5 linked regions of the Xenopus tropicalis genome follow. The protein of the gene in region 1 binds, or shares a complex with, the protein of each later gene. Links are inferred from orthologs where the notes say so. Each region holds a gene or a part of one and is shown in the gene's direction. Other genes may lie near its edges.

Region 1 (6,266 bases):
GCAGTGTGATCTGACAAATTCGGCAAATTATCATAGGGTTAGTGAGCACCGAACAGTTGCACATTTGGAAAATATTCAAACCTGCCCAACCGATTTTCAGATGAAAAATTGCTACATCAAAAATCGGGCAGGTTTGAAAATTTTTCGTTAGAAAAACCATCAGATGGTTCAGTGCCCACTAACCTTATGATAATTTGACATATTTGATGGATTGCAACTTAATTGGTTGTTAGAGAGAGAAAAATTTTTAAGTGTATGGCCACCTTTAGCAATTAAATTTGCCAATTGTCCAATTGTTTGTAGGACCAAGCAGGTAGTTTCTCCAGCTTCAACTTGACAATATTGCTTGAAATGGTTATTCTTATTGATGGGCAAATCGTACTTTTAAATTATCGTTTCAAGATAAGCCTGGTCCTACGATAATAAAAATCTTAACATGTATAGCCAGCTTTAGTCTAGGAGACCAGTTTATAGGAGGTTGCAATAGTCTAAATGGGATAGGATAAGGGCATGGGTTTGCAATACTGTGAAGGAAAAACAGGAAAATCTGCAGTGGCATTCCTATGATTTGAGAAGGAAAAAGACTTGTCAAATCAGCAGGGTTTATGGTCCCGCCATCAGTATTAATGGTAAAAGAAGAAGAAAATACAGGTTTAATTATAGGTGGTATTAGTTCAGCACAATTATGTCTGATTTGTGTCAAATACAAGCACAATTGGTCATTTTTGACCCATGGGCCACAATTGCATCAGACATCCCTCTTGTGATTACAACAAAGCTGTACTTCTGAAAAAAATGCTGCATTGTGGGGAAAAAAACATGGCAATGGTGCCCAAAATAGTATTTCTCTCAGAGGCATCACTTTTGCAGTGAAAGTTCTCTATAGACAAATGGTCAACCCATAGGTTTTAGAACTTCTTGCTTTAATGTAAAGGTAATGAATATAATACACAAGTTTTGGTGATTCAAGTGACAGAAATTACATCACTAAGCATAATTTATAAGGATTTACAGGATTTTCATGGTTCTTATGTATTATATACAGATGAAGTATTTCACACAGTTACACCCATTCATAAAATAAATGCCGTATAGTGTGATTGAATGCACCATTAAATCTTGCCATGTAGGCATAAAAGATATAATGGGCAATATTTAGTTCAATAAAAAAATTATCTACTAATTTTCCCTGTATATTTCTACTGGGTTTTCACGAAATAAACCACATTGAAGTCGGCTTTTTTACTCTACTGCATATGTGCAGGCCCCAGGATTAGAGCAAAAGAAAAAGAAAGGAAGAGGATCGTTCGCCTTCATGTACTACAGGCAAGTGCAATTTTCTGCTAATAGGAGCACCAGCTGGTTTCACTGTGGCTAAAAATTAATCCTATTCTTTATTGCAACTCCCTATAGATCCTATCAGGTCTCTGTCCATGTTTCAAATGAAGGGTGGGATTGTTCTAACAGTCCCTTGCCAGAAGCACACCAGGAGGAGGATAGCCAATCACAGCCTTGCACTCACACAAGCAAAGACAGGCTTCAGTTCTCTATCAGGTCAGCCTAGCTGGTTCCTATCCTACAGTGCACGTACTGAGAGCCGCCGGCTCCCCAGTTTTGGTGGAATTTCTCAATAAATCAATCCGAAACACAACTTTTTAATATCAATCCTTCCATATTTAATGGAGTATAATTCACTGGTATATTCTTTATTTTTAATGTCTTCTTTAACTGGTAAAGTTCCTGTAATAAACTGAAAATTTGAGTCATTTCAGTTCTGTTTTTGAGGTTTGCTTCATTCTTGCGCATCATGTAAATGAAATTCAAACACACAGTTGAGGAAAAAGCTGTTCTCTGGTTCAAAATTGACCAAGCACAGTCCTATTAAATGTGCCAAGCATTGCCACCTTGTAACTAGTTCTCAGTACACATGAATAAGTACACATGCACAAATTATAGTTTGTAAGATTGTTGTATTTATTTATAAGCAGTTAGGTTTAACTAAACCAGAGACTGAAAATCAGTTGTCATAAATTTTCAGTTTGTACCTGCAGTCTAAGCAAAGGATAAAAATAGGCATTTGTTAAGGAATAACACACTATTAAAGGTGTTGCAAAGACACTAATGAGCTGTTTTGCAAGCATGGACTTAGCACCTAACTCACTTTCCTGCACTTATGTGTTCTGACTTGGGTCTTCGTATTCTCAAGAGAGGAAACCTTCTCACAGTTCATTGTACCTGCCCCAACTGCTGCTGTTAAACAAACACCTCTGAGCCCTATTACCACTTTTAGGTTATCAATACCCCTTGGAAATGTAATTTAACAGGTTTATGTCAGCGTCAGTTAAAAAAAGGAGAATGTCACGGATCTAATCCTTAGAGCTGAGGATGTTAAAACATAATTAAAGCTGTTTATTACACCAGGGTATATTTAAATTGTAAACAGAGAGCTTGCAGAGGCTCAATTGAGCAAACAAGAACGTTAAAGTAAACCTACACTGATTTAAACAATTTGATATATACCCGCACACTTCATTAAATAAATAATTCTTTATTTAAGTAGTTATAGTAGGAGTAAGCCAGATCTACAGCAGCACGACTCTGTGACTGCGTTACACTGACTAGCCCCTGTCACAAGGCAGTACGTGTGCGTCATTGCGTTACGTGCAGCCGTGCGTCACTATCGCGTGATGAGACTTGTGGCTTTGGGATTTTCAGTAAAACAGGAAGCTTGGAGCCTGCAGGTGACAGTTTTGCGGAAGGTGTAAGTGTTGATTCTGGAATGCGGGCTGTGTTTAGGAAATTGGGACTGGTGGATTGTTTAGGAAAAACGGGACTGATAGTATGAAAGTTGTGTAGGGGAAAAGAGTATGCATTTACCCTAGCCACCAAAATCGCTTCCGAAGTCTGAAGCTCACTGACAGTAGGGGTGGGGCGGAAATCCATTGTATTAGCGCAGCCGGACCCCCCCTTAAAATACCCACTGGGTCCGGGACAACTGTCCCCTTTGTCTACCCCTGGTGACTGCACTGCCTTAGTGTTTCCAGTCGATTTCTGCCTGCACTAGTGTCTCTCATACGTCTATTGAGACACAAAATAACACAGCACTGTTACTGTATGTTGAAAGAATTACCTTGTAAAATGATTTTGTAACAACAGTATCAATTAAAAGTAATAGTTCATCCTTTAATGAATTATTGTGTAATTGTCCTGTGATTTAATGCAAGATGTGGGAGTCTTTCTCTATCCTGCTTTTCAACAGACAGGCTTGCAGATCAGCTGATTAGATCATTATCTTCCTCCCAAGGACCAAAAATGGAGTTGCTTCAGTTATGTAACGCCCTTTAAAAATTGCATTATGACATGAATTACCCTTTTAAGTAGGTTTTAGCTTAAAGGAACAGTTCAGTGGAAAATTTAAACTGGGTAAAATGTATACGCTGTGTAAAATAAAAAATATTTGTAATATAGTTAGTCAGGCATATTTGTCTATAAAGGCTCTGTGAGCAGATGTCTAACATAATGGCCAGAACTTTATTTCCTGCTTTCAGCTCTCTAACCTCTTAGTTAGTCAGTGTTTTTGAGGGGGGGGGGGGTATAACTACTCAGTTAGTTTGTGAGCACACAGGTAAGATTCAAATGCAAACTAACTGAATTGTTATGTCCCATATGCCCCCCCCCTCCAAGTCACTGATACATTTTTGCCTAACTAACTATATTGAAAACATTTTTTATTTTGCACAATCTGTTTTGGCCATTTTCATTTTTACACTGACCTGATACTTTAAGGATGAAGACACACAGAGCTACTAAGTAGCAGCTAAGTAGTGTCATGGCTACTGAACACCAGAAAATACCCTGCCATAAACAATACTGAGAAATGCGTTTAGTAGCCATGACGAGTAGCTGCTGCTAGTAGCTCCATGTGTCTTAAAGGAACAGTAACACCAAAAAATGAAAGAGCTTTAAAGTAATAAAAATATAATGCACTGTTGCCCTGCACTGGTAAACCTGGTGTGTTTGCTACAGTAACACTACTATAATTTATATAATAAGCTGCTGTGTAGCCACGGGGGCAGCCATTCAAGCTGGAAAAAAGGAGAAAAGGCACAGGTTACATAGCAGATAACAGATAAGTTCTGTAGAATACAATAGTGTTTTATCTGTTATCTGCTATGTGCCTGTGCCTTTTCTCCTTTGAATGGCTGCCCCCATGGCTACATAGCAGCTTATTTATGTAAATTATAGTAGACTTTCTGAAGTAAATACACAACTTTTACCAGTGCAGGGCAGCAGCACATTATATTTTAGTTACTTTTATACACTTTCATTTTTTGGCGTTACTGTTCCTTTAACCCCAAAGCTGCACAAAGTTGATTCATACTGTAGTGGAAGCAAACAAAAGGTGTGTAGGTATTGCCATCAGCTTACAACTGTCATGCAGAAAGATGATGCATATTTGCTTACTTAGTTTTATCACTTCCAGATTCCTGTAGTACTCTACATTGCCTTGACCTCGTCAAGAAAAAAGTGGAGTTGACTATATTCGACCATGTCTTACAGTACTGGCCAGGATCCAGCTCAGCTTGCCCAGACCATATCAGGCAATATTCAGAAAATCACACAAAGCTGTAAGTTACAGTCTTTTTTAGCAGTTGTTAAAATTTAGTTTGTCATTTGTCTGAAAATGACTTAAAGGGAAACTATCATAAAGACAAATATTTGATGTAAATGTCACGTCATGGATATAACAAACTTTCTCTATATAACTGACTAAAAAGTCTGTATAGTTTCTGAAATAGTCAGGTTTCTCTTAACTCTGCCCTTTTAAACGAGCACTCTCTCTAAATGCAGGCATACATCATACATCATTGGCCTGTGCTCCCCTCCCCTAGCCTAGATGATAGAAATGTCTTGAGTGAAAGATTTTTGACACAAAGTTTGCATGTAGAGGCTGATTGCTGAGGGGAAGATAGTAAAGAGTGAATTGATTTTTTTTTTCTTTTAGAAATTAAACAGACATTTTCATTGCTTATATCACAAATGGTACAGAGTTCTTAACTGGTTTTATTTAAAAACTTTAATATTTCTATGTTATTATATTATTTTGTTTTCATGATTTTTCTTCATTAAATAGATATGTTTTTATGACGCCATTTCTTTTTGCTGCATTGTTTTGTTTATTTTTGTCAGTGGTCACTTGAGCAACCAACCAGGGTACTGTAACTGATCCCATGTACTTGGACTCCTCAAATATGCATACAGTACAACTGCACAGATTGTAATTATGCTCAGTGTTTCCCTCTCCCCAATGAAGGCACATTTTGGTACTGACAGATATAATGTTTAGGGGCTGCACAGTAATGACATGCGTACATTTCTATTTTATTCTGTTTTTATATCTATTCCATTCGCCTTATAGCTTCTGAAATACAAAGGATAGTAAATCAACTTGGAACTGTACAAGACACAGCAGAACTTAGAAATCGTCTGTAAGTCCAATTTTTCTTTTCTTTTTACTATTTATTTTTTTTTTTTCAATAAAGTCATTGAAGTGATTGAAACACACTAAGGGTTTTACCAGTTCCTATCAATGTTTTATAAAACATATCAGTATTACTTTTTCTAGTGCTATTTCTTAATTTTAATACCAATTTTCCACTTACAAAGAGACGGAACATGTACAGAGAGTGTTCAAGATCAAAGAAAACACTCAGAAAGGGATTCTTGTGAGAAGAAACCACAAAGCTAGCCTTTTGTATTGCACCACTCAATCTGACCAGTCAGGTTTGTAACAAGTTAATAAATAAAATGTAACTTTTATTACTTTATTTAAAATAAACTTATGCCACAAAGGAAAATCTGTTTAAAATCAGGGGGGAGAATCATAACAGGAAAACTGTTGTGGCTCACAAAAAGAGTGATCTATCTGGGGACCACCATCTGAGGATTGTAACTGATATTAGCTGATATTAAATTGGGATCAGTGATTCAATTCTAATCACAACTCTCCACTCACTGTTATGTTATAGTGTATTTGATGAAACTCAATTTTTCCTCCTAGACACACTTAAAGAGTGTTCTTTAAGTAGTTGGTATTTATTATTTCACTGCCCCGGGGCCACCCATCACAACTACACCTGTCCCTCTCCATTTAACTCCTCATTTTAAGCAAAATCACAACTCCCGCCTGCCTACCTCAAAGGACTGAAAGCGCCTGAAAAACGTTTTTTAAACAGATTTTTCTTTTCCTCTTTGACATATAGTTA
Region 2 (6,268 bases), on another chromosome or scaffold:
CCTCACTTAGTGGAGAGGGCAGCACTACTTATAGTACTCCCTTCAGACCGATACACACACCCCACTTAGCAAAGAGTATAAGCATACGTATCAGTATAAAGTATCCCAGGAAAGTGCAAGTGCTACACAAGACACTTCTACAGATTAGGTATATAGCCTTGTGGAGAGTTAGTCCCACACGAACTTAATGCACAGAAATAAAGAAGCCCCTTGTCCCGGCCGGGAACTTACTCGGGTATAGACAAAGGGAGGAACAGGCTCCTTGAAGCGGCTGGACGCCGTTCTCCTTCCTCCGGTGACGTCACCGGTACGAGCCGAATCCCAAAGTACGGGTCCTCCCTAGTGTCAAAAAGGTCCGACGCGTTGGACACGCCCCTGCCTTAAAGACTCTACCTCTACGTATTCCTTTACAGAATTATTTGCTAACACTGACCCTGGATGGGTAGCTTTCTTTCACCTGCTGCAGCACCACCTTCGCAGTGCTCCTAGGTAAGTGATGCCCTGGATTGGCACAGGTACAATAAACAGTCCAACAGAGACAAAACAGCACAGGCATTTGCCCCCTCCCACACTTAATAGACTCTGGAATGTGATGCCAAGCCAAGGGCAGCAAGTCACTAAAAAGTCATAATCATAAAATGCACTATGTTTGCCCAGGATCAGTAACTCATAGCAACCAATCAGCAGGTAGATGCACTGGTCAGCTGTTTAAAAGCAAACATCTTATTGGTTGCTATAGGTTACTGCTACAGGAAAAAAGTTGTGCCTTTTAATACATATGTGGGTATGAACACTGTTATAGGAATAGTTCAGTGTAAAAATTAAACTGGGAAAAATAGACTGTGCAAAATATAAAATATTTCCAATATAATTAGGCAAAAATGTAATCTATAAAGGCTGGAGTAAGCATATGTCTAACATAATAGCCAGAACCTGACTTCCTGCTTTCAGCTGTCTAACCTCTTAGTTAGTCAGTGACTTTAGGGGGGCCCACATAGGACATAACTGTTCAGTTAGTTTGTGAGCAGGCAGGTCAGATTCAAATGCAAATTAACTGAACAGTTATGTCCTATATGGCCCACTCAGGTCACTGATTGGTTATTGATTGCTAACAGCTTAGAGCTGTTCTGGCTATTATGTTAGACATCTGCCCACTCCATTTTCATTTTTACACTGAACTGTTCCTTTAAGATAGTCACAAGGAAAATTATAGACTAACCAGGCAATTATTTTAAACAAAGGAGCACCGGGGGAAGAGGAAAAGGTAAAGTACTGCATGGCAGGGCAGAAGCGATAAGAGGTGGGTTGGGAACCATACAAAATAACCCCAACATTATTTAATTTACTTGTGCCAAGAATAACTTTCTTCAGTTTTAGAATAATACAGCAGTGAATCATCAAGCAGCATTTACTTTTCTGGTCTTTAAAATTAATTATCTGATTGGTTACTAGGGGTATTTTTGTAATGAAAAAATGCAGAAAGTTGGCCAGTCATGTTTGTGCCCAGATGTGCAGCTTTCAGCCCCAGAAACATCCCTCTCAAAAGGGAGTAAAATAGATGATAGGTTCGGGACAGGTAATATTCTGAGCCCCAGATGTTGCAGAAAAACAACCACCAAAATTCTGTCCTCCCTTATCTGAACCACTGGTGGGAGCTGAGGGTTGTAACTATAGATCACTGAAGTACCATGGGCTCATGCAAAGCCTCCTATAGTTCTCCTTTCCACAGCCACATACTGCTGCCCTTACTGTACTGTACCCTTTCCACTCATACCCCGAAATATCTATTATTTTTATTATTAACAAGCATTTATAAAGCTCCAACATATTCTGTGTTTATGTACAGCAAAAAAGGGTCTCTAATGTCATTCAGCAGGAAACCCCATAGTCCAGTCTAAGCCTGTTTACATTTGAAGTTGACTGTTCACTTGCTTTAAGGGTGAAGACACACAGAGCTACTTAGTAGCAGCTAATTGTCACAGCTACTAAACGCCAGAAAATACCCTGACATAGACAATACTGAGAATTACCTCTGCCACATAGAGACAATTAACAGTAAATGATCAGCATTGTCTATTTCTGTAGCCGTGACAAGTAGCTGCTACTAGTAGCTCAGTGTGTCTTCACCCTAACACCCCTTTGAACTGAGCAGAACGTTTCTTATTGTGTGCGTTTTCCCAAAAGCACCTCTAGATGTCTCTGTGCCCCCTCATCGCTGTCCATACGAGCAAAGAAATTACCTCTCCATACAGCAGATGGCGCAAAGGTTTATTTTTGTCTTAGTCAGAGTCATCGGTGCATGGTATTTTGTCCCATTCCGCGCACCGTTGTTAAGCCTGTCGCGATGGCAGATTCGCAGGATGTCCACGTCCGAATTTGTCACCAGGAAATCGTTAAATATGACCTGGAGATCAAAGCGCTGATCCAGGTAACGCAGTGGGGTGCTGAAGGGGTGATCGCCATTAATAATACTGACTTTCTACATGCAGGAGGCAGTAGGGAATTCAGCTTACCATTAAGGGTCCGAGTTTGTAATATTCCCTATGCAACGCCACCTAGCGGCAGGCCGAGCTTACGTACCAGTTCCGAAGACTCCAAACTCAATGGTTTATGTTTGAATGCGGACTGGTGTAGCGTTACCGGCATGTACTGATAGTTCCCTACGGTCACAGCCTACTGTATGGTTTGGTTAACAGAGCCTGGCAGTTTTATTTTCCTAAATTATTACATGGGCTTCCTGCTACATGTTCCATGTACTGCACCCTAACAGTTATGTAGGTATAATACATTTAACTGGCTGATAACTGAAATAGCTATAATGCTTTCCCAGCTAATGAGCAGTGCTGCTATCAGTACTCATAGGCTCTATACTACTGAGTTAGCAGGGGGCCTCAAGTTTAACCCTCAAGTTTAACCCTTCTGTCATCTGGGCCATTATGAACCAGAATTAACACTGACATTAGTTGTTACCAGTGGCATAAAATAAGGTCAGGCTTCCAAGCAAAAGACTTTTCCGGGCCCTCACATGTTGGGGTGAGAGCCACTTACACCCTCGGCCACATAGTGACCACCACCTTCGCCTCCATGCTTGCAGAGCCAGAAGTAGCTGTAACCATACAGCAGGCCATCTGGATATCTGTATGCTAGTTAGCCAGTGAATGTTAGTATATCTTAACCAAAATGTCAAAATATCAGCACCCAGTAATCAAGTCTTTGTCACCAGTAATATCTTTGTATAGAATAACTTCCTAAAGCTGATACCTCAAGAGAACTGAATCCAAGTGATTTTGGTCACACTTATGGCACACCAAGCCTGGGATTCAAAATAGGCCCTGGCACTTCAAGTACACAATGTCCCAAACAGTGTCTGTCTATGGCTTCTTACAGCAGCCCCTCTGGCATTTGCCAGAATCCACAGATTGCCAATCTGGGCTTTTTGCACACCCAACCACAATTTATTATGCCTTGACTACACCCACTTACAACCCAACTTTATCCTTGGCTGGAGGCTGGTGGTTACTACCAGCATATTAACTGTCATTTTTTAATGACGTTTGCTAGGCATCTCATGTGCCACTATGTCATTTCAGTTTGGGAACAGCACAGCAGATGGTACTTTCTCATTGGATCCTTATCCCCCTAGCTCTTCTGTATTGTATGTAGACGTTTTAAAATGATTTGTCTTTTATAGGACATCAGAGAATGCCCTGGTCCTCTAAGCACCCTAAATGATTTCAATGCTCAAGTCAAGGAAAAATTCCACCTGCTGAGGCTGAGAATACAGGTACATTGTGTAATTTAGTAAAGACATTGCATTTTTGAGGGAAAAACTGGCTAGGTAATTAGAAATTCTTAACCACAAGAGAGGTTGATAATAAGTAATTGGGGCCTCTGCCCTATGATTAAACTATATTTTAAAACATTAAAAGTCCATTTACTGCCTATAACAGGGATCCCCAACCTTTTTTACCCGTGAGACACACTCAAATGTAAAAAGAATTGGCAACACAAGCATGAAAAATGTTCCTGGGGTGCCAAATAATGGCTATAATAGGCTATTTGGTAGCCCCTATGTGGACTGGCAGCCTACAGAGGCTTTGTTTGGCATTATATTGGGTTTTTATGCAACCCAAACTTGCTACCAAGCCAGGAATTTAAAAATAAGCCCTTGCTTTGAGGCCACTGGGAGCAACATCCAATTGTTTGGGGAGCAACATGTTGCTCATGAACCACTGTTTGGGAATCACTGGCCCATAATATTGGGAGCCCTCAAAGCAAAGCATATTATTCGCTCAGAGTTTTTTTCTAAGCACTTTTGCAAAGTACATTTTTTCTACTTTCTCAGTTATTAGAAGTTATTTGAAGTGCTGATTATTTTAGGCCAATGGGCTAAAAGTGGCTAAAAATGAATTTCCTGAGAAAAGAAACATTTTAAGGTGTTGCTCTCCCTAGAACTGATCACAGAAACACCAGAGACTCCACTTTCTAAGCAGAGCATCATTACAAAATGTTTCTTATCTCAGGCAATTCATTTTTAGCCAACAGTAGCCAGTCACAGTAGCCAGCCAGCTGAAATATCCAGCAGGTGGCGCTGTTGTTTCAAATATGTTATATTAGCCCAGTGATCCCCAACCAGTGGCTCGGGGGCAACATGTTGCTCCCCAACCCCTTGGATGTTGCTCTCAGTGCCCCCAAACCAGGTAGTTATTTTTGAATTCCTGACTTGGGGGCAAGTTTTGGTTGAATAAAAACAAGATTTCCTACCAAATAAAGCCCCTGTAAGCTGATAGACTGCATAGAGGCTCCCTAATAGCCAATCACAGCCCTTATTTGGCACCTCCGTTAACTTTTATGGTGCTTGTGTTGCTCTCCAAGTCTTTTTACATTCGACTGTGGCTCATGAGTAAGATAGGTTGGGGATCCCTGTATTAGCCATTTCAAAACAGCTAATCTCTTTAAAACTAAAATAAAAATAATTAAAAGTAGTTCTAAGAGTACTTTGCACAATTTTATAGTCATTTGTCTTGATGGATTACAGTACTTGTTTACTTGCTTGGATTTACAAAAAAAAAAAAACATTTTTGCATGAATCATTGCTCATCACCAAAAGTGATCACCTTTAAAGTCATCCAGGTAATAGTTTTCTAAACCTATAATTGGTGATATACTTCTTTGTTATTTTGGAAAAGGATTTTGAACAGTTGGCTAAGGAGCAGGATAAGGAATCTGACAAGCAAGCATTGCTGAAGGAGATGGAGTGCCACAAGAAACAGATGTTAAGGTGTGTATGGTCTGCTGCTTACATCTTGAGCTGTGCGAAAAATGGCCCCATAGCTTAATAAATAAATGTTATATAAAACAGGTGAAGAACTTTTCTTGCTTGCCTCTCAATATGTTTACAACACAAGGTTAATCAATATTGCTCTGTAGTTGTCCTACAAAGCTGTCCTGCAGTTGCTCATACATGTTTTGGCTGAGACATACTCTCTCTCTGCTTTCCCATTAGCCCACATGTTGCTGGGTGAATTCTAAGCTCCCCAAGGGAATTGTTGGTCAGTGACCAGTACTACACACAGTTCTACTTTAGTGAAAGGTGGCTTTGTGGTATTTTGCTGTGCTAATTAAGGCTGGGAATCTTTGTCAGAGACCCAACATCATGGGGAACAACCCCATGCCTACCTTCAGCACCTTGACCATGTTGTGCTGACTCTGAACTTTGCACCCCTTTCTCGGTAACTAGTATGAATGACTAGTGGCCCTATTTTAATGCTTCTTACAAATAGGGAGGTGGTGCTGGAATTTGTTACAGGTGAAAATAATTCAACCTATCTTTTAAAAATAATCTTTTAGATCATTATAATAATACAACCAGTGTATAATTTCAATCATCTACCATATCTGCCTTATATGAGGTTGCTCTTGTAAACTCTGCCAAATCTTATGCCTTTCATATTTGATTGTGTGTGCATTTTAATTTTTCTTAAGCAAAATTAACAACTGCTTTTCATCCATTGTGATGTTGATTTCAGCAACCAGACTGTGTGGCGAAAGGCAAACCTTTCATGCAAGCAAGCAATAGATAATGCAGAGAAGGATGAACTGCTCGATGGAGGAGACCCTACAAGGCAGAGGTACAGTGTTTTTGTTAAGAGGGTCATTCTGCAAGTCTATAGAAACTGCTTCTAGGGTGTTGATTTTGAAGACAGTTTAGACTGCTACAGACCACATAGCCATTTCACCCTTTCTTTCATTAACCCTTGTTAATCCC
Region 3 (6,142 bases), on another chromosome or scaffold:
CAGGTTCTAAGGGAAACCACCCATTCACAGCAGAAAGTGCTACTAATTCATCCCACAGCAAGTCAATAGAAATGTTTCAGGTGACACTGTAAGCTTTCTCTAAAATACATGTAATTGTCCATATAACTTTAAAGGAGACATATTGGATCAATGGGAAAACCCCTAATTTTGTAGGCAATTATAATATATAATATATGGTGCTGGTTTTACTTTGTGCTAAAAATTAATCCTATTTGTAAAAATGGCCCCTTTATTGGAGCTCCCTATAGATCCTATTAGTTCTCTGTGTTTGAAATGAGGGGTGGGCGTGTCCTAATGTTTCCAGCCAGAAGCACAGCAGGAGAGGGATAGCCAATCACAGCCCTGCAGTCACACAAGCAAAGACAGATTTCAGTTCCCTATCAGGTCAGCCTAGCTGCTGATTGGTTGGTTCCTATCCTACAGTGCAGTGTACTGAGTGCCACCGGCTCCCCTGCACATCCAGAGAATTCAGCCAGCAGGAAGTGATAAAGAAGCGGAGCACAGAAAAACTTAGAAATAAAAACATAAATTTATTTCATCATTTAAAAACAGGTCAGAGCATATTCACCTCTTTAGCTTAACGCGTTTCGTGGTAACACCACTTCCTCAGAAGCCCAAATTGTGACACCCTCCATTTGAATTTAAATAGATAGGACACACACCCATTCTTAATTGGCAACTCACTGTTAACCCTGAAGTGTGAAAAACAAGCACATATATGTCCATAGACGTGATGAAAACCTTGTATATATAAAAACATATAAAGAGCACCCACCCGGGTGCTTATCAATTATAAAAAACTGTACCCTCCAAACCACACATCATTTAGGTAAGCTTAGGTGTTGTATTAGTAACAATAATGATGATAGTAGTAATAATAATAGTAACAATAGATCAAAAAAGTCACATGTATTAAATATTGTTACAAGTTGTTTCTAAGTTGTATATATATGATTATATGTCCAATTGTCAGACCACAATACTAAACTAAAAGTATACATATAAACATACTGCTTCCAAAAATATTAATCAATTATATAGCGGTGTGGTCACATGATTATCAGTAGAAACAGGATAATTCCCATCATCTATTGAGGCCCCCATATTGCTCTGTTGTTTTCAACCGATATATCCAAAAGACCTCTCTCTCTGAAAGTTTCTTATCTATATCACCTCCCCTAACACTTATACTAGGTCTATCAATAATCTGAAAGGTCACATGATTACTACTTTCATGTCTCTCTATTATATGTTTTGCTATCGCTGATCTCGTGTCCTTTCTCTCTACGGCTGATAAGTGTTCCAGAATCCTAGTTCCAACCTTACGAATGGTTTTCCCCACATACTGAGCACCACACTCACATGTGGCTAGGTAAATGACCCCTTTGGATTGGCAGTTGAAATATTGGGGAATGGTGAAAGTAGCCAGCAGGAAGTGGAACAGATGGGCAGGACTAGTGGGGTTTTGGTGGAATTTCTCAATAAATCTCAGTCAGAAACACTACTTTTTTTAAGCACAATCCTTCTATATCTAGAGGAGTATAATTCACTGGTACATTCTTAATTTTTATAGGATATGTCTCCTTTAACGTCACAATCATGCATCACTTATACAATCAAGCAGGACTTTGAGTCTTTATGTTTTATAGGCTCCAGTACTCCAGTCCAGTTTTATGTTTTTTTCAAGGCCCCACCCTTAGGTCAATGCAACCTTGCAAATATGATACTGGTGTTATCTTACCCTTGTAACTGGTTCAGGTCCTTCCCAGCTGGTGTATTACAAGTAATAGCATTAATGGCAAAGTCACACAGGGCACTTTGTCACCAATGGTAAATCTGCGCTACAATGGGCGACAAAACGTCCCTAGCTTCCTTCTTGTTGGAAGTACTGGGAACACATATGCATCACTTCTGCTTCCAAAGTTGTCTCAGGGCAAAGGCACATGGGACATTTGTTGTCCACCGTAAATCTGCACAGCCCCTTTACAAAGCAGCTCCAGGTTACTTCACAATGCATGTTTTCTCACTAGCAATTCACATTACTGCTGGTGGCAAGAAAACTAGGTATGTTCTTCCATCTGAGGTAGCACAGATTTACCAAGTCAATTGAATAACCTAAAGCCATATGGTACTCTGCTGAAAGTAGAATTTATTTGCCCATTAATATCCACTTTAGAATGCTAGGATAGATTAACAAGGTCATGACATTAATTACATGGTTGTAAGGCCACTTAGAGTTAGCTAAAAAGAAACGCCATTCCACAATAACGCCTACGTATTACTATAGGCAACCTTTCCACTACTAATACGCACACTTCCGGGTTAGAAACACACCTCCGGACTGACGCACTCAGAGTGCGACTCGCGAAGTACAGGAGCCGGTGACGTGTGTGTACGTGGCGCTGACGTCAGCATTTTCCCCGGCAGAAACAGAAAGAGAGAGGGAGTAAGAGAGAAGCGGTGACCGGTGAGATTTACTGTAAGGGGGAGGTGTGTTTGTTTCTGTTCCTATAATGTGAGGGCGCGGGGTCCAGTAAGGGGCTCCTTGGGCTCATAGTTTGTTGCCCACATTCTGTGGGAGGGTTTGATTTTGGGGGCTTGCCTTCCGTGACGTCATGCCTGTGGGGGGGTCTAATGACACTAAAGGTGATAATCACTACACTGGGTGAGAATTGATGTTAAGATAATCTTGAGTACGCCGCATACCTACTAACCTGGCTGTCTGACTGGCCATGGCTGTGACTACCTGGCTGTCTGACTGGCCATGGCTGTGACTAGCTGGCTGTCTGACTGGCCATGGCTGTGACTAGCTGGCTGTCTGACTGGCCATGGCTGTGACTACCTGGCTGTCTGACTGGCCATGGCTGTGACTAGCTGGCTGTCTGACTGGCCATGGCTGTGACTAGCTGGCTGTCTGACTGGCCATGGCTGTGACTACCTGGCTGCCCGTCTGGCCATGGCTGTGACTACCTGGCTGTCTGACTGGCCATGGCTGTGACTACCTGGCTGTCTGACTGGCCATGGCTGTGACTACCTGGCTGTCTGCCTGGCCATGGCTGTAGCTGCCCGTCTGGCCATGGCTGTGACTACCTGGCTGTCTGACTGGCCATGGCTGTGACTACCTGGCTGTCTGACTGGCCATGGCTGTGACTACCTGGCTGTCTGATTGGCCATGGCTGTGACTACCTGGCTGTCTGACTGGCCATGGCTGTGACTACCTGGCTGTCTGACTGGCCATGGCTGTAGCTGCCCGTCTGGCCATGGCTGTGACTACCTGGCTGTCTGACTGGCCATGGCTGTGACTACCTGGCTGTCTGACTGGCCATGGCTGTGACTACCTGGCTGTCTGACTGGCCATGGCTGTGACTACCTGGCTGTCTGACTGGCCATGGCTGTAGCTGCCCGTCTGGCCATGGCTGTGACTACCTGGCTGTCTGACTGGCCATGGCTGTGACTACCTGGCTGTCTGATTGGCCATGGCTGTGACTACCTGGCTGTCTGATTGGCCATGGCTGTGACTACCTGGCTGTCTGATTGGCCATGGCTGTGACTACCTGGCTGTCTGACTGACCATGGCTGTGACTACCTGGCTGTCTGATTGGCCATGGCTGTGACTACCTGGCTGTCTGATTGGCCATGGCTGTGGCTACCTGGCTGTCTGACTGACCATGGCTGTAACAACTTGGCTGTCTGTCTGACTGGCCATGGTTGTAACTACTTGGCTGTCTGACTTCCCATGGCTGTAACTAACTGCATGTCTTGCTGGCCATGGTTGTAACTATTGGCTTGCTGGCCATGGTTGTAACTATTGGCTTGCTGGCCATGATTGTAACTTCATGCCTGTCTGACTGGCCATGGCTGTAACTACCTGGCTGTCTGACTGGCCATAGCTGTAACTACCTGGCTGTCTGATTGGCCATGGCTGTAACTACCTGGCTGTCTGATTGGCCATGGTTGTAACTTCATGCCTGTCTGACTGGCCATGGCTGTAACTACCTGGCTGTGTGACTGGCCATAGCTGTGACTACCTGGCTGTGACTACCTGGCTGTGTGACTGGCCATAGCTGTGACTACCTGGCTGTCTGACTGGCCATGGCTGTGACTACCTGGCTGTCTGACTGGCCATGGCTGTGACTACCTGGCTGTCTGACTGGCCATGGCTGTGACTACTTGGCTGTCTGACTGGCCATGGCTGTGACTACCTGGCTGTCTGACTGGCCATGGCTGTGACTACCTGGCTGTCTGACTGGCCATGGCTGTGACTACCTGGCTGTCTGACTGGCCATGGCTGTGACTACCTGGCTGTCTGACTGGCCATGGCTGTGACTACCTGGCTGCCCGTCTGGCCATGGCTGTAACTACCTGGCTGTCTGACTGGCCATGGCTGTAGCTACCTGGCTGTCTGACTGGCCATGGCTGTAGCTACCTGGCTGTCTGACTGGCCATGGCTGTAGCTACCTGGCTGTCTGACTGGCCATGGCTGTAGCTACCTGGCTGTCTGACTGGCCATGGCTGTAGCTACGTGGCTGTCTGACTGACCAAGGCTGTAACTACCTGGCTGTCTGACTCGCCAAGTCTGTAACTACTTGGCTGTCTGACTGGCCAAGGCTGTAACTACCTGGCTGTCTGACCATGGCTGTAACTACTTGGCTGTCTGACTTCCCATGGCTGTAACTAACTGCATGTCTTGCTGGCCATTGCTGTAACTATTGGCTTGCTGGCCATGGTTGTAACTTCATGCCTGTCTGACTGGCCATGGCTGTAACTACCTGGCTGTCTGACTGGCCATAGCTGTAACTACCTGGCTGTAACTGACTGGCCATGGCTGTAACTACCTGGCTGTCTGATTGGCCATGGCTGTAACTACCTGGCTGTAAGTGACTGGCCATGGCTGTAACTAACTGCCTGACTGGCCATGGCTGTAACTAACTGCCTGACTGGCCATGGTTGTGACTTCATGCCTGTCTGGCCGTGGTTGCAACTACCTGGCTGCCTGACGGGCCATGGTTGCAACTACCTGGCTGCCTGACGGGCCATGGTTGCAACTACCTGGCTGCCTGACGGGCCATGGTTGCAACTACCTGGCTGTCTTGTTGCCTATGGCTGTAACTACCTGTCTGTCTCTCTGGCTGGCCATGGCTCTAATAATAAATGGTCACTCCACAGAAACCAACTTATTGGGCAATTATTACATTACCTGCCTTGGCAAGTGGGGCCCAGATTTTTCTGCATTAAAAAGTAAGAAAGCATTGCTGTTGGCCCCATTGGGGTACTATTTGGTGGGCCTCCTTCAGAACGCTTCTCCCCAAAGGAGGTGCTAAGTACTTTATGTTTTGTACATGATAAATGTCCAGCCTGCTTGGTCATACATGGGCAGATAACATAACACATACAAAGCATAACATCATGTCTGAGATCAAGACTGGAGTTTTACATAAAAATGTATTCTGATGCATGTAATGCAGTCAATGCTGTATGCCAATATTCTTAAGAGCATCCCTTGGTTTCTTTTTATTGGACTACTGAAAATCAAAGTAATTAAAATGTAATGTATTGTTGTGCATTTGCTTCAGAAACTCTACTATAGTTTATATAAACAAAGCTGTTGTGTAGCTATGGGGGCAGCCATTTAAACTGAAATAGGGCTAAATGGTACAGTTTACATATCCGGTAATAGATAAGCACTGTAAAACATCATTGTATTCTACAGAGCTTATCTGTTATCTGCAATGTAACCTGTGCCTTTTCTCCTTTTTTCTTGCTGGAATAGCTACCTCCATGGCTATACAGAAACTTTATTTATATGAACTATAGTAACCTCTCTGAAGCAAACACACAGCATCTTGGGGCAAAAGTATATTACATTTTATTACCTTAAAACACTTTCATTTTTTAATGTTACTTTAATGGTTTCCATTACCTTGTTATGCTTATTCTCTTTTCACTTATTCCTGACTGCATTAGTGTACATACCACATGTTTGTGCGCTGTCTGTTTTAGCTCTTGGCACTCCAGGCATATTAGTGTGGTCTTTAATATTCATTTTAAAAATGTTACTCTACATTGAGTGTTTAAATAGAATACCCCTTTTCAGATTGGGATGGTGCATCTATCTTGTCAG
Region 4 (6,288 bases), on another chromosome or scaffold:
AAAAAAAATGATGTTTTTTATGCTATATAAATGATCAATGGACCTAACAATTCCTATTTATAAACATCCAGTACTGTGCTGAACTCATATTATAAATTACTTTTAAACCTGAAAGAACTGTATAATTTGCATCAGAGATACTTTTTAAATACTAAATCTAAACACCATCTTTACCAATCACTCCTAGCTTTATTAGTTTTAAAGTGCAGAACTACAATATCCAGAATCCTCTGAAAGTCTCTTCCTGTTGTATCATGTAGTCAATATTCCTTCTAATAAATGCACACAAATTGTGGCTCAAACAAAGTATTTTGGTACATTTTCAGAATCCCCCACCTCATACAGTGATCCCCAACCAGTGGCTCGGGGGCAACATGTTGCTCCCCAACCCCTTGGATGTTGCTCTCAGTGCCCCCAAACCAGGTAGTTATTTTTGAATTCCTGACTTGGTGGCAAGTTTTGATTGAATTAAAACAATATTTAGTACCAAATAAAGCCCCCTGTAAGCTGATAGTGTGCATAGAGGCTACCTAATAGCCAATCTTAGCCCTTATGCGGTCCCCGATCCGACTAAATTTTTTAAACTGCCCGATCGATATCTGCCCGATTTCAGGCCAGGTATCGGTCAGGCAGGCCCGTCGTTATTGCCCCAACATGGGCCGATGAGCTGCTGAAACGGTCTAAGGGACCGATATCGGCAGCTAGTATCGGCCCGTGTATGGCCATCTTCAGGCGGTACATGGTATGAGATTAGACTGCATGTTGGTATCTAAGGTAAAAGACAGACAGGACAATTAAAAACACAATCACCGAAACTAATCGACATAATGGATATTTCCATACATGAACATACAGGTCGCCGCCTGTGGAATTTGCTGTATGGGACAAGTCAGCATTGTTATAGCCACAGTAGTCACATTAGTCACGGTGACTAATCGCCCTGATTTCCAACACCAGCACTAAGACATACTTTAAAGAACAGTAACACCAAAAAAATGTATGTATCACAGTAGTCACTATATTTTGTACCATTGCCCTGCACTGGTAAGTTGTGTTTGCATTAGAATCTCAACTATATTTTATATAAACAAAGCTGTATCAAACTGAAATAAGGCTAAGGGCTCTGGCACACGGGGAGATTAGTCACCTCGCGAGTCTTTTTCGGCGATTTCGTGAAATCGCGCCGCCGCGTGTGCCATCCCGCCGGCGACTTACATGTTCACATGTTCGCTCATGGCAACTCGGGGAGATTAGTCGCCCGCGAACAGGGAGTTTTGTCGCGGGCGACTGATCTCCCCGTGTGCAAGAGCCCTAATTGACACAGGTTACACAGCTGATAATAGATAAGCAGTGTAGTTTCCCATTGTATTCTAGAGAGCTTATCAGTTTTTTGTCTTTTGTCCTCTTTTTTTTTTGCCACCTTTTCTGAAAATAAATACCGGCCTTCCTATATTTTTATCTTTTTTTTCTAATAATAACATTGGCACTAAGCATCATTTTTACCAGACAGGTGGCAACCATAACCCCAGGGCTACACAGCAGCTTTGTATATATAAACTAGAGTAGGGTTTATGAAGTAAAAGAACTTTTACTAGTGCAGGGAAACAGTACATTATATTTTAATTACTTGAAATAATTTTCATTTTTTGGTGTCGCCATTCCTTAAAGCACTGGAAGCCTTTTTTGTCACAAACTACATTGAGAGAGGCTCCAAATTGGAGAATATGTGGGGGGAGTATTGAGCTGTAATGTGTAATCTGCTTCCACTGTTTTTGTTGGACCACAAATCCCAAGATCCCCCAAGAGATTCGCCATGTGGGGCGGAGCTAGCCACAACACACAAAGTAGGAGAAGCAAAAGGAGTGCACGTTTCACTTTATTTTTTTTATATTAGGATAATTCGGATAAACTGCTTCCATGGCAACAGCGAACGCCTAAACATTAATAGGCGTGGCTTAATGAGACAGTCCGTCCTTTCTTGACGCACTGACGCAAGGTTGAAGCGTATTGGTGGCTGTGAGGGTGACGTTAGTGACGTGTAATATCCTGCCGCGTCACATTTAGAAGAATCCAAGATGGCGGACTGGGGCAGAGGTACTGGGGTCTAGGGTGCTTGTGTGAGATAAATACGTGTGTTATGTAGGATATCAGTGCTCCCTGAATGCCGAGAGAGTGGGGGCAGCGGCCTGGCAAACAGAGAAGGTGTTTGCGTGGGATTCGCTCTGGGATATTAAGCGTAAAGCAAAGGAACTGAGAGGGAATCTATGCTGGAATTAATGTTTGGGGGCGGTACTCTGTCCTGGGTGGGGCTCTATGCTAGGGGTGGTCTCCATGGGGGCTGTATGGGGAAGTACTCTGAAGGCCTTTGGTGGGTGATTTCTCTGTTAGGGAAGGTCAGTATGGGAATGTGCTGTATACTCTGTACTACACAGTGTTCAGGGTGCGGGGGTTCTACTCTGTGTAGACTGAGACTGTTCTAGGAGTCATTAGAGAGTCGTGGGGGTCTCTAGTATAGTGTTGCAGTCTGTACCAGTCTGTATAGTGTTGCAGTCTGTACCAGTCTGTATAGTGTTGCAGTCTGTACCAGTCTGTATAGTGTTGCAGTCTGTACCAGTCTGTATAGTGTTGCAGTCTGTACCAGTCTGTATAGTGTTGCAGTCGTACCAGTCTGTATAGTGTTGCAGTCTGTACCAGTCTGTATAGTGTTGCAGTCTGTACCAGTCTGTATAGTGTTGCAGTCTGTACCAGTCTGTATAGTGTTGCAGTCTGTACCAGTCTGTATAGTGTTGCAGTCTGTACCAGTCTGTATAGTGTTGCAGTCTTACCAGTACCAGTCTGTATAGTGTTGCAGTCTGTACCAGTCTGTATAGTGTTGCAGTCTGTACCAGTCTGTATAGTGTTGCAGTCTGTACCAGTTCTGTATAGTGTTGCAGTCTGTACCAGTCTGTATAGGTGTTGCCAGTTGCTGTACCAGTCTGTATAGTGTTGCAGTCTGTACCAGTCTGTATAGTGTTGCAGTCTGTACCAGTCTGTATAGTGTTGCAGTCTGTACCAGTCTGTATAGTGTTGCAGTCTGTACCAGTCTGTATAGTGTTGCAGTCTGTATAGTGTTGCAGTCTGTACCAGTCTGTATAGTGTTGCAGTCTGTACCAGTCTGTATAGTGTTGCAGTCTGTACCAGTCTGTATAGTGTTGCAGTCTGTACCAGTCTGTATAGTGTTGCAGTCTGTACCAGCAGTCCCCAGTGTGAGGGGAGTTGGAGATCTCTCTGCTCGTTACTGGGCTGGGGAAGTGTATTAGTGTTGTGCGTGGGTACGGCACCATAAGCAATGATTTCCTGTACTTATAATAATAATATTATAATAAGCACACATTTGGGTGCCTCTCTCTTCTCTTGTTGATATCTGAGGGGCTGTTGTAATAATTTCAGACATAATAGGGGTGGGGGAGGGTTTCATAGGGCTCCAGGTTACTTTCTTAGTGCGTTATAGTCGGCTCCTTGAAGGGGAATTGCTATAAACTTAGCAGTCTCTGAGCACTTTTGCAGTGTGCATTGATTTTCTAGTTTTAATGGTTTGTGAGTCAGTAGCAGATACGTGCTGCCAGGAAGACCTCGGCTCATCAGCTCTCTTTGAATGCCCGAAAAGACTGTGGCCCTGACTGTCTATGCATTTGTAGTTTCTTTTAACCCTGGGGTTTCTGAAATGAATGTATATTGCAAAAAGGCCCAGAGAAACTCTGCCCATATGTGACTATGGCCATATCGCACTAGGATCTGCCTTGCCATGGCCAGATATATATTGATATATATTGAAATTGGCTTTATTGATTATGTTAAATGCACGTCACACATGAGGACTTTAGTCTGGGGATGTGTTTGTGCATTAGGTGAGACAGCAGTCGGGCATCCTGGAAATCCCTTCTTACATCCTGACAGTCTCATTCTAGTTTCCACTCTCGTGATTCAGGGCCGGCACCACTGTCCCTTCCCCGCGTTGTTGGGCCGGCACCACTGTCCCTTCCCCGCGTTGTTGGGCCGGCACCACTGTCCCTTCCCCGCGTTGTTGGGCCGGCACCACTGTCCCTTCCCCGCGTTGTTGGGCCGGCACCACTGTCCCTTCCCCGCGTTGTTGGGCCGGCACCACTGTCCCTTCCCCGCGTTGTTGGGCCGGCACCACTGTCCCTTCCCCGCGTTGTTGGGCCGGCACCACTGTCCCTTCCCCGCGTTGTTGGGCCGGCACCACTGTCCCTTCCCCGCGTTGTTGGGCCGGCACCACTGTCCCTTCCCCTTCCAAAAAAGAAAAACCTGCCATTCAGTTGCTCTTTGTTTTTTTTACAGGGCCAAATTCAGGAGCAGTGGATGAGATGTTGGATGCAGAGAACAAACGGCTGTCAGAAAATCTTTCTTCGAAGGTGACCAGGCTGAAATCAGTAAGTAGGAGTGGTAGATATTCTACAGGAATAAATAACTGATGTGTAGGCCTCTATTCACAGCGCCTTTCTCTTTTGCCTCTCTAACAATTCCTACTATATGCATAAAGTACAGGGCACTTCTGCCTCTCTAACAATTCCTACTGTATGCATAAAGTACAGGGCACTTCTGCCTCTCTAACAATTCCTACTGTATGCATAAAGTACAGGGCACTTCTGCCTCTCTAACAATTCCTACTATATGCATAAAGTACAGGGCACTTCTGCCTCTCTAACAATTCCTACTGTATGCATAAAGTACAGGGCACTTCTGCCTCTCTAACAATTCCTACTGTATGCATAAAGTACAGGGCACTTCTGCCTCTTTTGCCTGGGCTCTGTTCCTGCATAATCACTCGGATATCACAATCTGTTCCTTTTTTTTTTTTTTTTACAGCTTGCACTGGACATTGACAAAGAGGCTGATGACCATAACAAGTACCTGGATGGCATGGTAAGACTCTATAGATACTTCGAATCCCTGTACAAAACAGTCTGTTCATTATCTGTTGTGTGTGTATATATATATATATATATTTATAATAATTATAGTAAAGGTTTAGGATCTGTTATCCAGAATGTTAGTGACATTTTGTTTTCCATAATTTAGAACACCTTAAGGCTACTACAGAAAATAAACATAATATAAACACAAGGATAGTTTAATTAGCATCAATTACAGAGACAAAGGAAATCATTAAAAAAAAAATAACTTTATGGGAAAAGTTTTCTGAATAACTGGTTTCTCACCCATTTCTAATTCTTTACGTCCAGCTTAAGGGAGGAGTTTAATGGGACAGCAATATGTACTTTCAGGATTTAGCAGAACTTTTAGTATGACATAGATAATGATATTCTGAGACAATTTGCAATTTGTTTTAAATGTATTCATTTTTATGGTTTTTCAGATATTTAGGGTTTTGTTCAGCAGTTTCCAGTTTGGAAATTCAGCAGCTATCTAGTTGCCAGGGTGGTCTTTTCCTTAGTAACCAGGCAGTGAATGAGAGGCTGGAATATAAATAGGAGAGGGACTAAGTAGAAAGTTAAGGAATAAAAAGTAACAATAACAATAAAATTGTAGCCTCATAGAGCAATAGTTTTGCCTGTGGGGGTCAGTGACCCTCCTTTGAAAGCTGAAAGAATGTAGAAAAGGAAGGCAAATTTTCAAAAACCATAAATAAATAATGAACAGTGTGTGCTGTAAGCGAAGTACTTCTCATTGGCTTGTACTGGTCTCCTTATTCCTCCCAGGACTCTGATTTCCTGAGTGTGACGGGACTGCTGAGCGGCAGTGTCAAGCGCTTCACCGGTATGGCTCGGTCTGGGCGGGACAATCGCAAGCTCTTGTGCTACGTTTCCTCTGGACTTGTGGGGCTCTTCTTCCTTCTTTATTACCTCGTATCCCATTCCAGTACATGAGAGCACTTCCAATTCATACGCCAGAAGGACTTTCTTTTGCACAATACCCAATGACCCACATGTGGGAAAGGGTCGGAGGATCACAGCACTTTAGGGATCTACAGGGCAGTCTCTGCTTATCCCTGATTTCTAATTATACCAATCTTAACCCAGTGATTCGCAGAATGTTTTAGTGTGGGGATGGTTGAACTATTTTCATGATTTCAGTTGGTACAGGGAGGGGTAAAAATGTGGGCTCAGATCTTAAAATGTAAAAATAGCTCTGCCTTTTGCTTCCCAGTCACTGAGCAGGTAGTAATGAGATGGGCAGAAGCACAGGCATAGCTGTGTGTATGTCGTTCAACACAGAGCTGATACTGGCCTTCTATTGTAAGCCTCATATAAAATAGATAAGCATAAG
Region 5 (6,355 bases), on another chromosome or scaffold:
TGTTAAAGTTCATGTAAATTGCAAATGTGCTCAGAAAGTAAGTTTACAACATTTTTTTTTAGATTCCTTAAATAAAGTTCCATCATTGTCACTCTCCCCTCCTTGCTACTGTGAAACAAATGCAACTCAATCCAGTATCTATGCCTGTTTATAGGCAATGCTCACTAGGGAAGCGGAATATGAATACAAAAGGTCACAAAAACATTGATCTTTAACGAGAAATGTTATGCTTTAAATAATAAACAAGCTCATATGATTTTCAGTAGTTCAGCTCTGCAGTTATATTATTATTGCCAAAAGCAATAACTATAATAAAGCCATGTTACTGCATTTGACAGGGGGTGCTGAGAACTGAACTTCTTGGATACAAGAAGCTACCCTAGAATACTGTGGCCTAAACAAAGGTGACCTCCAACAATAGGATGGGGAAATTTGCATTACAATTCATATGTTGTGCCCTCTTGTAAACACTGCAGTGTATTTTCAGACCAGGGGGTACTGCAGTGAAGGGCCCCATGGCAGAGGAGAGACAGAGATTAAATTTTGAGCTGGGGGGTCCTTGAGGGAGGAGGTGCTGCTAAATCACTATTGGCAGCCCTGATTTAGACATACTGTAGTATACAGGTAGTTATAGAAAGTGATGGCTAAGTAAAATTGATTATGTATTTTCATAGTTCTATCTAAGTAACTACCAGTATGAGTAAGACCTAAAATGTTACTATCAAATAAAGTGAATTATCATCAATGCACTTTAATCAAATAGTGCCATCTAGTGGTCACATGGTAAGCAATACTTGCTTAGTTTTTCCTGTGCAATATGCCGACTCCAATAAAACTGATCTCCACTGCAGATCACACATGCTGTCATGTGAAGCTGCCAAACTCAGGCACAATACACCCCACCCAGGGAAAGAAAGCAAGGTATTATATTATGTGGTGGGACTAGGGGTGTTGCTCTCCCATATTAACACAGGAATGGGAGCAGAGATAAGATTAGGGAGGACCAGTGGGCTAATATGCTCAAAGACAACCTTGCCCCAGGCTCTTTTAGGCCATTCATAGCTAGTGAATTTCACCTCCTGTACCGCTCCTATTTTGAGGCCATGATGCTGTTGCCCCCTGGGCACATGTTATTTGGCTGCTAATGTGAATTCCAGGAAGGGAAGAGAGAACATAACTTTCAGTCTTTGTTTGGTTTTACAACTTTAGCCCAGGGAGTGGGGTTAGATGTGAGACTAAGTGAATTCTGATTTGTACACTTACTCTGGGTCTTTAACTGTATATCAGCATGACTTTTTTCTTCTGTTTTGTGATACAGAGAAAACTTTGAGAAGAGTTACTGAAACTTTGAATGTGCATGTAATTGTACAACAGGGAAGCAGGCAGGGCTCCCATCAGAAATCATGGGGCCCATACAACAAAATTATCAGCCCCCCCTTGGCCTAATGGTTAAAACAGATTGAACCCTTCAATATACTCACATAAGGATGTGAAAGAAGCAGCTCAGGCCAAAATTGCATACATGCTCTTATGCTTAAATCAGAGATATTCATTTCAATTGATATTTTTTCTGCTGAGAAAAGGCTGTTCCATATCCATCCCATGTATGTAGCGACAGAAATGACTGAGACCTACCTATCACTACACACAATTGGCAGATTCTGTGCAAAAAATGCAAATACAAGAAGTATTTTTACACTGGCAGAGAAATTGCTCAGTGTGCGGTAAGACTTGCCTCGTTGTGTCTCTCCCCCTGTGGAGAGAAGCCGATGCAGGGCATTTGGGAGGTATGCATTTTTTGCATTTGCTTGAGGGGTTTCAGCCCATGAATTTGTTGCTGTTTGGCCATTGGTTAACAATTCAACTAAACTTTTTTATTTACAGAAACCTTGTTCATTCTTATGTGTAAGATGGCACAGGGCCAACTTTCCATCTCAAGTGCCCAAACAAGCCTTTTTACCTAAGACTCTAAATTTTACCTGGCCCTAAATTAAGTTTTTATCTGGCCCGTGTGCACAAAAACAGTTTCCTTTTTAGTCAGATTAGAAGAGGCTCAAATGACAGCAGGAAAAAATGTCTGGCCTCCAAAATTGGTTATTGATTGCTTTATATGTTACTCTGTATGTCCAATGTATGAAACCCACTTATTGTACAGCACTGTAGAATATGTTGGCGCTTTATAAATAAATGTTAATAATAACCATAAAAGTAGAGCCTAACAGCTGAGGATTACTGCTGGTTCCCATTAGATTCTCCTAAATTAACTCATACGTTGCCCCTAAATTGCAAAAACATATTCTCCTTGTTTTCACACTGACCAGAACTCAAAATAACCGAAAGTCTGTTTATGGGTAACCATGGATGACAGTCGGTGTGATCTAACTCCTCCATGACACCCTTTCCAGCACTGGTTTTCATTGGTGCCCTGGAACTACCTAGCGCAAAAATGACAGGGAACCAACACAAATAAAAGTCCACAGGAAACGTTTGGTCAATTTAACCCATTGTCTTTTCCTAAATTAGCCCTTCCACTGCCCCTGGCTTGAATAAAAATACTGGGGCCCTCAAACGACAAACTAAAAGATGATTTCATTATTTGACTTTGCTCTAGTTTGCATAAAAACTCCTTCCTTTTTATTAGCAATGGCCCAAGTTGAAAATTTAAGATGAAAATGTAAATCTCTTTTGAGGAAATACTGATGTCTGAAAACACGGCGGACAACCAACACGAAAACTCTCTTTTTCTATTTTTTTTTTGTGGGACTGGGAGCGGATTTATGGCCACCTCTAGCCGCTTCTCATTGTCTAATTTAATTACGGCATCTCTACTCGTCACTCCCACATGGCGGCTACGTGTGCGTCCTTGCGCTTACGTGCAGTTGTGACGTCAGGCTATTCCGTGAGATAGGAAGTGAGGCGCTTGCAGCTAACAGCTTTGCGGTATGTGTAAGTAGCGAACCGGGACTGCGGGCTGTTTAAGGAAAGTCGGGACTGTTGCGCAGTTTGTACTTACGTGGATCAGCCGCCCCCTTGCTGTCAGTGAGCTGCAGACTTCAGAAGGGAGGGGATAGCTAGGGTGCATGTTCTTACACATATACAGCTTTATGTTTTGCTCGTTTTGTCACTGACAGCAGCGGCCAGTAATCCAAGTAAGGGCAACACCGCTGAACCTACGGGTGCTGGGACTACTGTTCCCGCCTGATGTTGCTCCTGCTTTAAGAGATACTGACGCCAGAAAGTAAATCTTTTTTTTACATCTATCATAACATTGTCTTTGCAAGAACTTTATAATTTTGCCATAAAAATATTTGCCTGATGCGTTTACATTACCTGTCTGATCCCCTGTGTTCCTCTATGAGGGGGCAGCCATATTTGTCTGTTAGCATTAGAAGCTGTAACTGACAGGTTGGGAAGGGACAGTCAGGTTGGCAAAACAGTCAGGTTTAGGAACTTCAAGTAACAATTACTTACAAAACCAAACCTGTCAGCGAAAAACCGTCAACACAACCTATAGGGAACTTTTATGTATATTCATATTTTGAAATTAGTTTTTGGTGTCAGTATCACTTTAGCATACTTACCAATTTTATATTAGTCACGATGTGTGCATACCTGTTTATATATATGGCAGTGTGTGAGGTTCCATAGTGTGTAAGGGATTGATGGCAGTATGTAGGCTGAAGAATTTTGTTTTCGTGCTTGAGTCAGTGGGACCTAAGTTTTGTGAAGCCAGTTACTTGCTTAGCATTTTAATCACGCAGTTTAAATACATTTGCAATCTGGGCAATTCTATCATAAAAATGCTTCCTGCAAATTGACAAATAGCACATTTCTTTCTATTCTTCTCCTGTGCTTGTCAACCCTCAGGAGATGGCCCCACTCCTTCCATGGGAGCTGTCAGGTTCACTGGTGTGGGTTAACATCCTAATCTCCCTTCTCAGGGGCCAGTGAAATTAAAAGCCCTGCAAGCATCACATGTTCTCCTAGTTACCCTCTCAATTGCTGCTCCTAAAGAAATAAGAGCTCTTCTCAGGAAATGCCACATTGCTGTCACTCTGAAGAACCTAGGTAATATCTCTTTAAATGTTGTACTCTCTTATAATGAAAACAGAGGTTGTGTATAGGCATTTACAATGAAAAATTCAGGGCCTCGCCCATATAATGCAACACAACCTCTCTACCTTTTTCTTGGAAACCGGGGGTTGTTTCACCAAATAAACATGTTTCTCTAAGCAGACCAGCACAATTTGTTTTACAGTTAGATGTCTTAGCAAATCTGCAGAGCATTCATAAAAAAGTAAAGTTAAAAATAAATTGTTTTCATGCCCGAAAAACTTGTCATGCCACTAGCCCTGTCTCAGCTGAAACCTGTGCTGTGGATTTTAGTTAGAGTGCTGACACTTCTTATTCCAACAACAAAGCAATTGTTTGCGATGATTCTTTTCAGTGAAGGAGTTCTAGGTTTGGTCACAGTCTGTTGATGTAGTTTAAGTGGTCTCCATATGTTTGTTTCACTAGGTTCAGGAGCTATTTCAGCGACTGACCATTTATAACTACAATGTAATATGAAATAAAATCCTTAGAAAAAACAGAAGATTTTCATTGACAAATATTTGGTTAAAGCCCCCCACTTTGTGGTGCATTATTTGTTCAGTTCTTCCTGAACCTATTCTGCCAACTGGTTATCAGTAAGTAGTGCAAATGTTCTGAGGAATAGTGAGGAGTATTTGAAGTAAAATTTTCTGTATTTACCCTGTGTTTATATTATGCTAGTGAATTCAAAGCAAGCTTTGTGCTGTGTTGTGATGTATTTGATGAAAAAAAATATTTAGAAAGAGAGCTTGATCCATTGAAGTCCCAGTACTGAGCAGAAGATTATTGCATTGCACTTGTTACCTGCAAGACCCAAGCTGAAACCCAGATATAGTGCTCTAGTGACTGTAATAAAGCTAATTACAGTAACCACATCCACCCCCTTGCCTAAAAGTGGGCAGAAGCATTTTTTGGGGAAGTTGCAGCATTTTGTTTTCTAAGGCTAATTGTGTAATAACTGCTAATAGTTAAGAAATCCCATTTAAAATTTTGTTTAAGGTTGCTGCTGCCAATTGCCCCCACAATTTCTAACACAAATGCATGCAAAAATTGTGGAGCATGTATATATGAACATGCATAACATAATTCACAACATTAGATTAGAAGGTGATAGGATGCCAATACCAGCTTTGTGCTCAACAATGCCATGGTGTCCTTGCTACTTGTTAAGAGATAATAATATTACAAAATAGCTATGAGAGTGGATGAGGAATGCTTGGAACAGACAGCTTGTGTTTAGTATGTTTTTTGAATGCAGACTTTGCATGTTGGCAGAGGCTAATAATATACATATGTGCAATCATCCTTGGGTTCTCTAATGTAAATGAAGCACTAACACTCTTCCATTTAGTGTGTAAGCACTATAAGGGCTATGGCACACGGGGAGATTAGTCGCCCGCGACAAATCTCCCTTGTCACAGGCGACTAATCTCCCTGAAACGCCATCCCGCCCATGGGATGGCATACACGGCGCCACAATTTCCCGAAATCATGGAAGTTGCCTTGTTGCGGGCGACTAATCTCCCCATGTGTCACAGCCCTAAGTGTAATAGTTGGAAAAACAATTGGAGCTTTATGTTTCACATGATTTTATCGTAAGTAAATAGACTGACAAATGCTTCCTCCTAACCTATGCTAACCTGGATTATTTTTTTTGTTTCAGGTGCAAGCATGGCTATCCTATTTGCTGTTGTTGCTAGAGGAACCACCATACTTGCAAAACATGCTTGGTGCGGTGGGAACTTCTTGGAGGTGACGGAGCAGATCCTAGCAAAGATCCCATCTGAAAACAACAAACTCACTTATTCCCATGGAAGGTCTGTTGTTTAATGTTTTTATGGATTTATCAATGGGGAAATTTTATATAGAGAGTTACCAATGGGTTACCAACCGCTATGGCTAGAAATTCAGTGTTTTATATACTAAACGTACTACATGAACCTAAAGGTTCCCCATCTCTATCAGTAATGATTTCTGCCTTCATAGTTGTCACAGGAGCTCTGTATCTTGGATTCTGTTAGAATGTTCTGCAACATTCACATGCTTAGGGGTCTATTCATCAAAGTATGAGTTTGAATCCCGAATTGATTAAATACAATAATTTCTGATGAACACGAAAATGCTTACAAATAAATTATATTAGTCACGATAATATCGTTTTGGCGATCCGAACGATCATAAACAGCAGGAAAACCTTTCTGACTTTGATCCTTCTGTGCATGATTTTGGAAGCCTCCCATAGGACTCAATGGTACTCTGCAGC

Evidence for each region.
Region 2: stx7 (region 1) and bnip1 share a complex: the UniProt entries of both Homo sapiens proteins name them as parts of the SNARE complex. The link is inferred for Xenopus tropicalis from reciprocal best matches to the Homo sapiens genes STX7 and BNIP1.
Region 3: stx7 (region 1) and stx5 share a complex: the UniProt entries of both Homo sapiens proteins name them as parts of the SNARE complex. The link is inferred for Xenopus tropicalis from reciprocal best matches to the Homo sapiens genes STX7 and STX5.
Region 4: stx7 (region 1) and bet1l share a complex: the UniProt entries of both Homo sapiens proteins name them as parts of the SNARE complex. The link is inferred for Xenopus tropicalis from reciprocal best matches to the Homo sapiens genes STX7 and BET1L.
Region 5: stx7 (region 1) and vamp7 share a complex: the UniProt entries of both Homo sapiens proteins name them as parts of the SNARE complex. The link is inferred for Xenopus tropicalis from reciprocal best matches to the Homo sapiens genes STX7 and VAMP7.

Annotation. Positions count from the first base shown.
Region 1 is NC_030681.2:70,299,684-70,305,949, reverse strand, and holds the start of stx7 (syntaxin-7), read left to right. Parts: upstream 1-2,653; 5' UTR 2,654-2,761; intron 2,762-4,483; 5' UTR 4,484-4,549; coding exon 4,550-4,628; intron 4,629-5,419; coding exon 5,420-5,489; intron 5,490-6,266. UniProt on the Homo sapiens protein: May be involved in protein trafficking from the plasma membrane to the early endosome (EE) as well as in homotypic fusion of endocytic organelles. Mediates the endocytic trafficking from early endosomes to late endosomes and lysosomes.
Region 2 is NC_030679.2:43,443,177-43,449,444, reverse strand, and holds the start of bnip1 (vesicle transport protein SEC20), read left to right. Parts: upstream 1-2,314; 5' UTR 2,315-2,344; coding exon 2,345-2,428; intron 2,429-2,507; exon of another isoform or gene 2,508-2,744; coding exon of another isoform or gene 2,745-2,774; intron 2,775-3,691; coding exon 3,692-3,784; intron 3,785-5,189; coding exon 5,190-5,281; intron 5,282-6,029; coding exon 6,030-6,131; intron 6,132-6,268. UniProt on the Homo sapiens protein: As part of a SNARE complex may be involved in endoplasmic reticulum membranes fusion and be required for the maintenance of endoplasmic reticulum organization. Also plays a role in apoptosis.
Region 3 is NC_030680.2:36,552,379-36,558,520, reverse strand, and holds the start of stx5 (syntaxin-5), read left to right. Parts: upstream 1-2,419; 5' UTR 2,420-2,488; exon of another isoform or gene 2,489-2,511; intron 2,512-6,142. UniProt on the Homo sapiens protein: Mediates endoplasmic reticulum to Golgi transport.
Region 4 is NC_030680.2:24,001,267-24,007,554, forward strand, and holds the start of bet1l (BET1-like protein), read left to right. Parts: upstream 1-1,982; 5' UTR 1,983-2,075; coding exon 2,076-2,094; intron 2,095-2,331; exon of another isoform or gene 2,332-2,393; intron 2,394-4,338; coding exon 4,339-4,430; intron 4,431-4,866; coding exon 4,867-4,923; intron 4,924-5,720; coding exon 5,721-5,888; 3' UTR 5,889-6,288. UniProt on the Homo sapiens protein: Vesicle SNARE required for targeting and fusion of retrograde transport vesicles with the Golgi complex. Required for the integrity of the Golgi complex.
Region 5 is NC_030684.2:65,373,202-65,379,556, forward strand, and holds the start of vamp7 (vesicle-associated membrane protein 7), read left to right. Parts: upstream 1-2,908; 5' UTR 2,909-2,940; exon of another isoform or gene 2,941-2,942; coding exon of another isoform or gene 2,943-2,946; intron 2,947-2,952; exon of another isoform or gene 2,953-3,238; intron 3,239-3,887; exon of another isoform or gene 3,888-4,068; intron 4,069-5,755; coding exon of another isoform or gene 5,756-5,763; coding exon 5,764-5,909; intron 5,910-6,355. UniProt on the Homo sapiens protein: Involved in the targeting and/or fusion of transport vesicles to their target membrane during transport of proteins from the early endosome to the lysosome. Required for heterotypic fusion of late endosomes with lysosomes and homotypic lysosomal fusion.